Arabidopsis thaliana: one gene and its partner. The protein of the gene in region 1 interacts with the protein of each later gene in a pairwise test. Each region holds a gene or a part of one and is shown on either strand. Other genes may lie near its edges.

Region 1 (3,757 bases):
GCCACTTGAACATTTTCCTCAGCTGTAGGTTCGCCACTAACTCCAGCTCCCATATCAAAAAGCTCAACTTTCTTGTTGCCAAGGGTACTCATATACCTGAGATTCAAGACCAATTTCACATGTATGAACACATAAAAGTCAAATGAAATCCTATATAGATATTCTGAACGGATCGATATGAAATCAAAACCCTAAAAGAACAGGTTGAGATTCAAATAATCAGCTTTCTTAAAGAGGAATGATAGAAATACTAACGTTTTTCTTAGAGCAACGTAAGAATTGAGCTCCTTGATCTGTAACATTATACAAAAGAAAAAGTTAAACACAGATGTTAAAAAGTTCATACAAACAAAATGTTAGCAGATACAAAGTACAGAGGGGAGTGATAGATACACAATGACACTCAATATCCACCTTAATATATCCATTCGGTTATAAACACACCTAAAGATTGACCAAACTGAATACGACTGATGCTGTATAATGGAACTTTACGAAGGTGCCAAGTAAGAGTTAATATTCACATATTTACTTCAGATACATATGACATTGTAGTATAATCAAAGAAAGGCCTCAATGAATTTAATAAACAAAGGATAAAAACTCACCATAGATTGTTTCTCATCGTTCAATTGCTTATTTACTTCAGGAGAATTTCTAGCTTCCTCATCCTTGAGTTCACGGTCGAACTCTTTGACCAATCTGACATGAAGTACACATTAGACAAGCAAATACAGATTATTGAATCATGGATTTGTCACATCAATACTCTTTCCTTCTCAATTCTCATTATACGGCATCGTATCCAGCTCAAAGAAAAAGAAGTACGCATAACAGTGATCAAAGAGCACATTCTACTAAAGGCAATTAGCAAACAATGTTGTAACGCCGAGAACATAATGGTAAAGCATAGCAATTATGAAATAAGTATACCTTTTACACTCTCTCATCTTGTCAGTAAGTTCTTCAAGTTGTTTGCTTTGTCTAGTTGAATCCTTAATCTTATCCAACCTCTGGAAACCATTCCTGCAAAACAGATAATGGTGAATCATTAAAAGAACAATCTTTTGAGTGATGACTAAATCTAATTCTTATCATCAGCATTAAGCAAAACACGCATAAATCCTATTGAGCACACATAATCAAAAAATTCCAAAACCCTAAAATATATATCACAGTGTTTCGTAACCACGACAGAGATAGTTAGAAAATTGAACAAGAGGATAACATGTAAAACATACGCGAGGGCTCGGAAATGGTCACGGATTTCGCCATGGATCTGCTCCAATTGAGGGCTCATGGGGAGATTAGAAGCCATGTCGCCGGAGACAATTCAGAATCCGACGAAAATTTACCCAAAAACTACGTCACTGCATCTAAAATTTCCCTCCAATTTAAATTAAAACCCTAATTAGACAAAAACTGAAGTTAAAATCTCCAAAAAGAGAAAACACAAAGGAGAATGAATGAAAGACGAAACAAAGGACGACAAAGAACGGGAAAAGGGAAAGAGAGCTGTCAGGTGTGTGTTGTTTTTTTCTTTTTTATTCAAACATATATATTTTTTAAAAACAAAATTGATTAATAAATAAATTAAAAAGACAGATATTCGGTAGTTAAAAAAATGACAGCGAGGCGCCAACTTTTTGGTCCCATCCATATCCGTTGTTAGATAAATTATTTCACTTTCACTAATTTCACCTAATAATACTTTGATTATATTCTTCTAGCCAACAAAATTTTCATATTTTTCGAATATTTTAAGGATACAATGCTAGAATTCAAAATACAGTGTTACTTCGTTAGAATTGTAGCACTAACTAATCATCGTCACTAAGATCATCATCGTAAGGATCAAGGTTGTCTTCACCTTCACCGTCAACGTTACCAGATTCCATGTAAAACTTCTCCTCCTCTTCCTCATCGTCTTCATGGTCTTCCTTCTCTGCTCTGTCTTCCCCGTGCAAAGCCTCCTCCTTCACCAATAAACTACATTTATTAGCCTTTTATAAAATCACTGGAATGGCGTTTAGCGTTTCTCACTTTAAGTAAGTTAAGTACCTCCTCCTTCTCGGATGTTACGAGCCAGTCAGGGAGCAACCGATCCAGCAAAGCGTGGTTAAGAGTTGGTGGTGGTTCATCCTCATAATGTAGCCGTTGCTTCAGCTGTTTTTCTCTGAGCCGTAAGTTGTAATGAACGTATGTTAGATCTTTCGTTGATTTTTTCCCAAATTGGCTCTGGCATTGACTGTTAACTTGGTCGTACACGCTCCACTTAGGCTCACACCCAACAGACGAGCAAGTGTGGCTCAGTATCCGAACCGCCACTCGCTGGAGTTCCAAACAGCTTATCCCATGCTGTTGCCACCACGCCGATGGATCAAGCTCTGTTCTTGTGCCAATGGCTATATCCGTTCCAAAATCAGCTTTCGCACAAGTATAATCCGGAATCTGAAAACATTTCAACAAAAAGTTGGTTTAACCTCAGGTTCTGAGAACAATGTGTGTGACTTGGTGATTTGTTTTTTGTCTCACCTGCATCAATGCTGTGATTCTACGCGTGTTATCAGGCTCAAGCCTAACAATGCATTCGTTAACTCCACGCACAACCTCAGACTGCTGCAGATTCATTCACATTTACAGCAAATGTAAGGAAAATGGCAGAAAGCTTTTAGTCATTGATTCAAATGAATGATAATCATACCTACCGCCATAAAATCAGGACGATATTTGTATGCCGGGTTGAAGAAATATGCAGCCACATAGAGAGGATGATGAAACAATGGGTTCCAACGGTATTCTATCACCCGCCAAAACGGTCCGTATTTCCTTGCATCATCGCTATGAATAGACTTGATCGCCATTTTCGCACAGCACATGTAACCGTAAGCATATGGCATAGATAGTCTATCGCCACCATCATTGATCATGTGAATCACCTGCATCACCGGATCAACCGATTTCAAAACATACTGAACCTTCTTCCAAAACACAGCACTCAACACCATCTTCTCCACTTCTCTTCCCTCTTCAGACTTGGCGGCGGTCTGTGACAAAATCCAGCCGTCAGATTGAAACAGACCTCTGAGACTGGCCTTGTGGTCCATAAGACTTTGAAGAGTGGTGAACCCGGAAGCGTGGCGCATGACTGCTGGTCTAAGAAGATCTAGTCCCTGTGTGAATTCGTTCTTCATAAGATTAAGCAGCCATGTTTGATTGTAAATGAATCTTGTGATTCTTTGGGCTTTCTCTAAGCACTCGGAGACAAATTCTAGCTTTGAGAAGTCTTCAAGAACCAGTTCTGTGCAATGTATTGCACAAGGAGTCCAATACAAATTCTTTCTCTTCTCTTCAAGTAATTTTCCAGCACTTCTAAAGATAGCAGTGTTCTGTGTAATAACCTGCACCACATTTTCCTCGCCAATGTCGTCAACTAGTTTGTCTAGACACTTGAAAAGGCTTAAAGCATCTTCTACTATATCAGTGGCATCAATCGAGGAGTGGAAGTAGACACCACGAGGGCACGAGACCAAGAAACTGATCATTTTCTTGCCCTCTGTGTTGGTCCAAGTATCTGCCATTATGGAACAACCTGTAACCACCCAAGAAGATCTGTACTCCCTCAAGTAGCTTTTGATAGTTGACATCTCTTCCTGTAAGAGCCTACCAGAAAACAGCTGACTCGAGGGCACAACGAAACCCTCTCCGTACATACCAATCAATTCAATCATCTTTTGAAAGTACAGAGAATTTGCTG
Region 2 (3,757 bases), on another chromosome or scaffold:
TAAGGAACATAGTAGCTAGAAGTAGAAGAAGAACCCACTAAAGCTCCTCGCTCCATCTTCCTTAGACTTCGATGAGAGAAAGAATTCAAATAAATACTAAATTGTTATTGTAACTAAACCGGCAGGTGACGGCTGATTACGGTCGGAGAAGGCGGCAGTAGTACCGTAGTGGGACCCACGGTAAGTAGGTATTTTATTTATTGTTTATTTTTCCATATTTTCTTCAATAGTCTTTTTCTATTATTATTTATTGTTTATTTTTCCATATTTTCTTCAATAGTCTTTTTCTATTATTATTTATTGTTTATTTTTCCATATTTTCTTCTTTAGTCTTTCTCTATTACTATTTGACGGAACTCTTTGAATGTCTGGTCGTTACAAGCTTAAGTTGTGTCCCCACATGGAAGTTATTCGGTTGGGTCCATCGAAGGAAAATTGATTGAACCGGTCTGGTCATTCTCTCCCAAACTATAGAACCAATTTCGGTCTGCATCGGAGTTTCGAAGTCGCGGACTTATCAGAGTGGGCTTTTTAAGGAATGTTTTTAGAATATTTACCAGCCCAATCCCATTTTAAGTATGTCCAGATCTTAATTTGGCGAGCCTTTTTATATATGGTGAACAACTGATTCTAATGTGTATGTTTCACTTTTATTAGAGAAAAAATGTGAAAAGATTTAATGTGTATGTTTCACTTTTATTAGAGAAAAAATGTGAAAAGATTCTTAAAAGTATTTATTTATGCTAATTGGCAAAACTAAAACATCAATTTATGTACATCATTTTAGTTCTTCCTCTAAGATTTGATTGATTTGTATTAATGGCTCTGAATACTGATACTAGTTTCGTTGGCAAGTAAGATAAGTGATAACTTTGATAAAGAGTGTCAAATTACAAGTGCCACAATTTGGAGTACGTAACCAAATTGACATAAAACTTGAATAGGTGAAAAAACGAGCCAGAAAAAAAACGAATATCTTCTGCTTATCCGAATAAAACGAAAGTAATATTCTTACAAGATCCTTCCTTATGAAGTAGTGCCAGTAGATATTTTTATCATTGTGATTGCGACCTGTTTGTTGCGATTCATTTATGCCAATTCACGTTACTATTTATGTTGTGATAAAATCTTTTATTTTTCTTCTTCTTTCCAAATACTTAAGTATGCATGATTATTGATCCGTACAAGCATAAACGAAGAGCTATAAAGTCTCCAACGGTAAACGTACGTGAACCAAAATAACAATTCAATATTATGGTTCGAATTATTCTGTGTATTTTATGTAAGAAAATAACCAAAACCGACTCGAAACAAAACAAAAAAATCTTCTGAAATGTGAATCTTTATTTCGGAAAATTCTTAACGATAGATAGTTTTTGCTTTAAAATTAAATCCAAACATAAACTAGAACTGAAATTCAATTCGTTGTCAATATTTTCTATACAAAAAAAAAAAAGAAATCCGACCAAATAAACAAAACCATAAATAGACATCTCCATTTTTAGTTGAAAGATGATTAAATGCAATAAATGTGCCACAATCATAAATTTTTCCTTTTCACCTAATTGAAAATTTTAATCATTAATAAGAAGAATCCATGGAGCACAATTATTTTATTTTTTATTTTTTGCTCTCATATGGTATGTTAAATTAATTTTCCCTTAATTTAAATTCCCCATATCAAATAAGTTTTTTTTTTTTTGAGAAAGACTTGATTTCATAGGAGAAATATTTGTTAATATTTTCGACAAAACATTTTCTCTGTTTGATGTATTTCCATCCTCGTACAATAAATACTCTAGCTATTAAATTCTTAGCCCAAACGAAAATAAAGAAAAATAAAAGGGTCCTACTAATAAACAAAACAAAACTAGTGGTCCCAATTTGAAATATATAAAAATATATAAAATTCATAAAGCTTTGTGGCTTCAGAGCTTCCACTTCCATCGTCGTCTTCTATTTTTTCTTCTTTCTTCGATTTCATACCAAAACAAGAACTCTCTGTTTTCGACAAAAACGAAACCTTGAGATCTATTTTGATTGACTTTTAAGAAAGAGAGAGATCTTTCTTAGAAGATTTTGTCTCGTCGGCATTGAAGATCCAGGTAACAAAATCTCACCTTTTCTCTCCTAATTTCACGAAATCGAAGAAAAATTCTCATAATTCTCTTAATTACTTATCTCTCAATTTCTTAAATCTTACAGGGTTTGTCTTTCGAAATTCAGGTAATTTTCTCAAATCCATTTATGGATTGAAGCTTTAGGTAATGAATGAGCTGAATCTGCATATAAAAATCGATACTTTCATTATCCAGAACAAAACAAGATTTAGCATAAACGTTCAAAATTGAAACTTTGATTCCTAACTTCTTGGAATGATTCAGATTGAGCTAGATTTAGATCTGTATGATTGATATTATGGGTTTGGTTTGTTTATGAGTAGAGAGAAAATGGGTGATGAGGCAGAGATCAAGGAACATTTAAAGCCACAAGCTTCATCTGAAACAATGGACAAGAAACATAATGTGAAAGGGAAGAGGTTATGGCAGAAAGTCAAGTATCAATTGGTGGAGTTTCATTCATTGCCTGCTTATTTAAGAGACAATGAGTACATCATTGGTCATTACCGATCCGAATGGCCGATCAAACAGATTCTTCTCAGCATCTTTACCATTCATAATGAGACTTTGAATGTTTGGACGTAAGTGTTGAATCATGTTTCTTGATGTATCCTTGTTTAAAGTTCAAGAGCCTTGAGTGTGTTTGTGTGTGTGTGTTCTTTGGGATTTGCAGGCACTTGATTGGGTTTTTCCTGTTTTTGGCGCTCACTATATACACTGCAACGAAAGTACCGAGTGTCGTGGATCTTCATTCGCTTCAACACCGTTTACCCGATTTGTTGAGGAAAACAGATCTCCACAAACTTCATTCTGAGCTCATGGCTCGCCTTCCTTCTAGTCCATCTAGTTGGCATGTGATGGACCTTCTTTATAACTGTTTGCCTGAAAGATTTTCTCATGGCAACTACACTGACATGTGTGTTCTGGTAAGAAAAGACTCAATCTTTCTCTCTATTCCTGCAGATTACTGTTTCAAAATGTGGCCAAGTTCATATCTTTGTAATTGCATTGCAGCATTCTGTGAGGGAAGATCTTGCAAACTTGATAGCTCCTTTGATCTTCAGGCCAATTACTCGATGGCCGTTTTATGCATTTCTAGGTGGTGCTATGTTCTGTCTATTAGCAAGCAGCACGTGCCACCTCCTCTCATGTCACTCCGAGCGAGTCTCCTACATAATGCTTAGGCTTGATTACGCCGGCATCGCAGCTCTAATAGCGACTTCCTTCTACCCTCCGGTTTATTACTCCTTCATGTGTGATCCTTTCTTCTGCAACCTCTACTTAGGATTCATAACCATCTTAGGAATCGCCACTGTGCTTGTTTCTCTCCTCCCGGTTTTCCAAAGCCCGGAGTTTCGGGTGGTGAGGGCGTCTCTGTTCTTTGGAATGGGATTCTCTGGCTTAGCTCCGATTCTTCACAAGCTGATAATCTTTTGGGACCAACCTGAAGCCCTTCACACGACAGGTTATGAGATTTTGATGGGTTTGCTTTATGGGTTAGGAGCTCTGGTTTATGCAACTAGGATCCCAGAGAGATGGATGCCGGGTAAATTCGATATAGCAGGACATAGCCATCAGTTGTTTCATGTTCTGGTTGTTGCTGGTGCGTTCACGCACTATAGAGCTGGGCTAGTGTA

The links.
Region 2: the proteins of NPSN13 (region 1) and HHP4 interact in a protein complementation assay, tested with the Arabidopsis thaliana proteins (one large-scale study listed by BioGRID).

The regions. Positions count from the first base shown.
Region 1 is NC_003074.8:5,970,973-5,974,729, forward strand, and holds the start of NPSN13 (Putative plant snare 13), read right to left. Parts: upstream 1,601-3,757; 5' UTR 1,319-1,600; coding exon 1,242-1,318; intron 1,027-1,241; coding exon 934-1,026; intron 703-933; coding exon 609-702; intron 294-608; coding exon 256-293; intron 97-255; coding exon 1-96. Other genes in the region: AT3G17450 (hAT dimerization domain-containing protein), read right to left, coding at 1,821-1,976, 2,062-2,451, 2,536-2,619, 2,709-3,757. UniProt on the Arabidopsis thaliana protein: Vesicle trafficking protein that functions in the secretory pathway.
Region 2 is NC_003075.7:17,698,781-17,702,537, forward strand, and holds the start of HHP4 (heptahelical protein 4), read left to right. Parts: upstream 1-1,853; 5' UTR 1,854-2,105; intron 2,106-2,205; exon of another isoform or gene 2,206-2,226; 5' UTR 2,227-2,435; coding exon 2,436-2,701; intron 2,702-2,793; coding exon 2,794-3,046; intron 3,047-3,134; coding exon 3,135-3,757. Other genes in the region: NAGS2 (N-acetyl-l-glutamate synthase 2), read right to left, coding at 1-56. UniProt on the Arabidopsis thaliana protein: May play a role in abiotic stress response.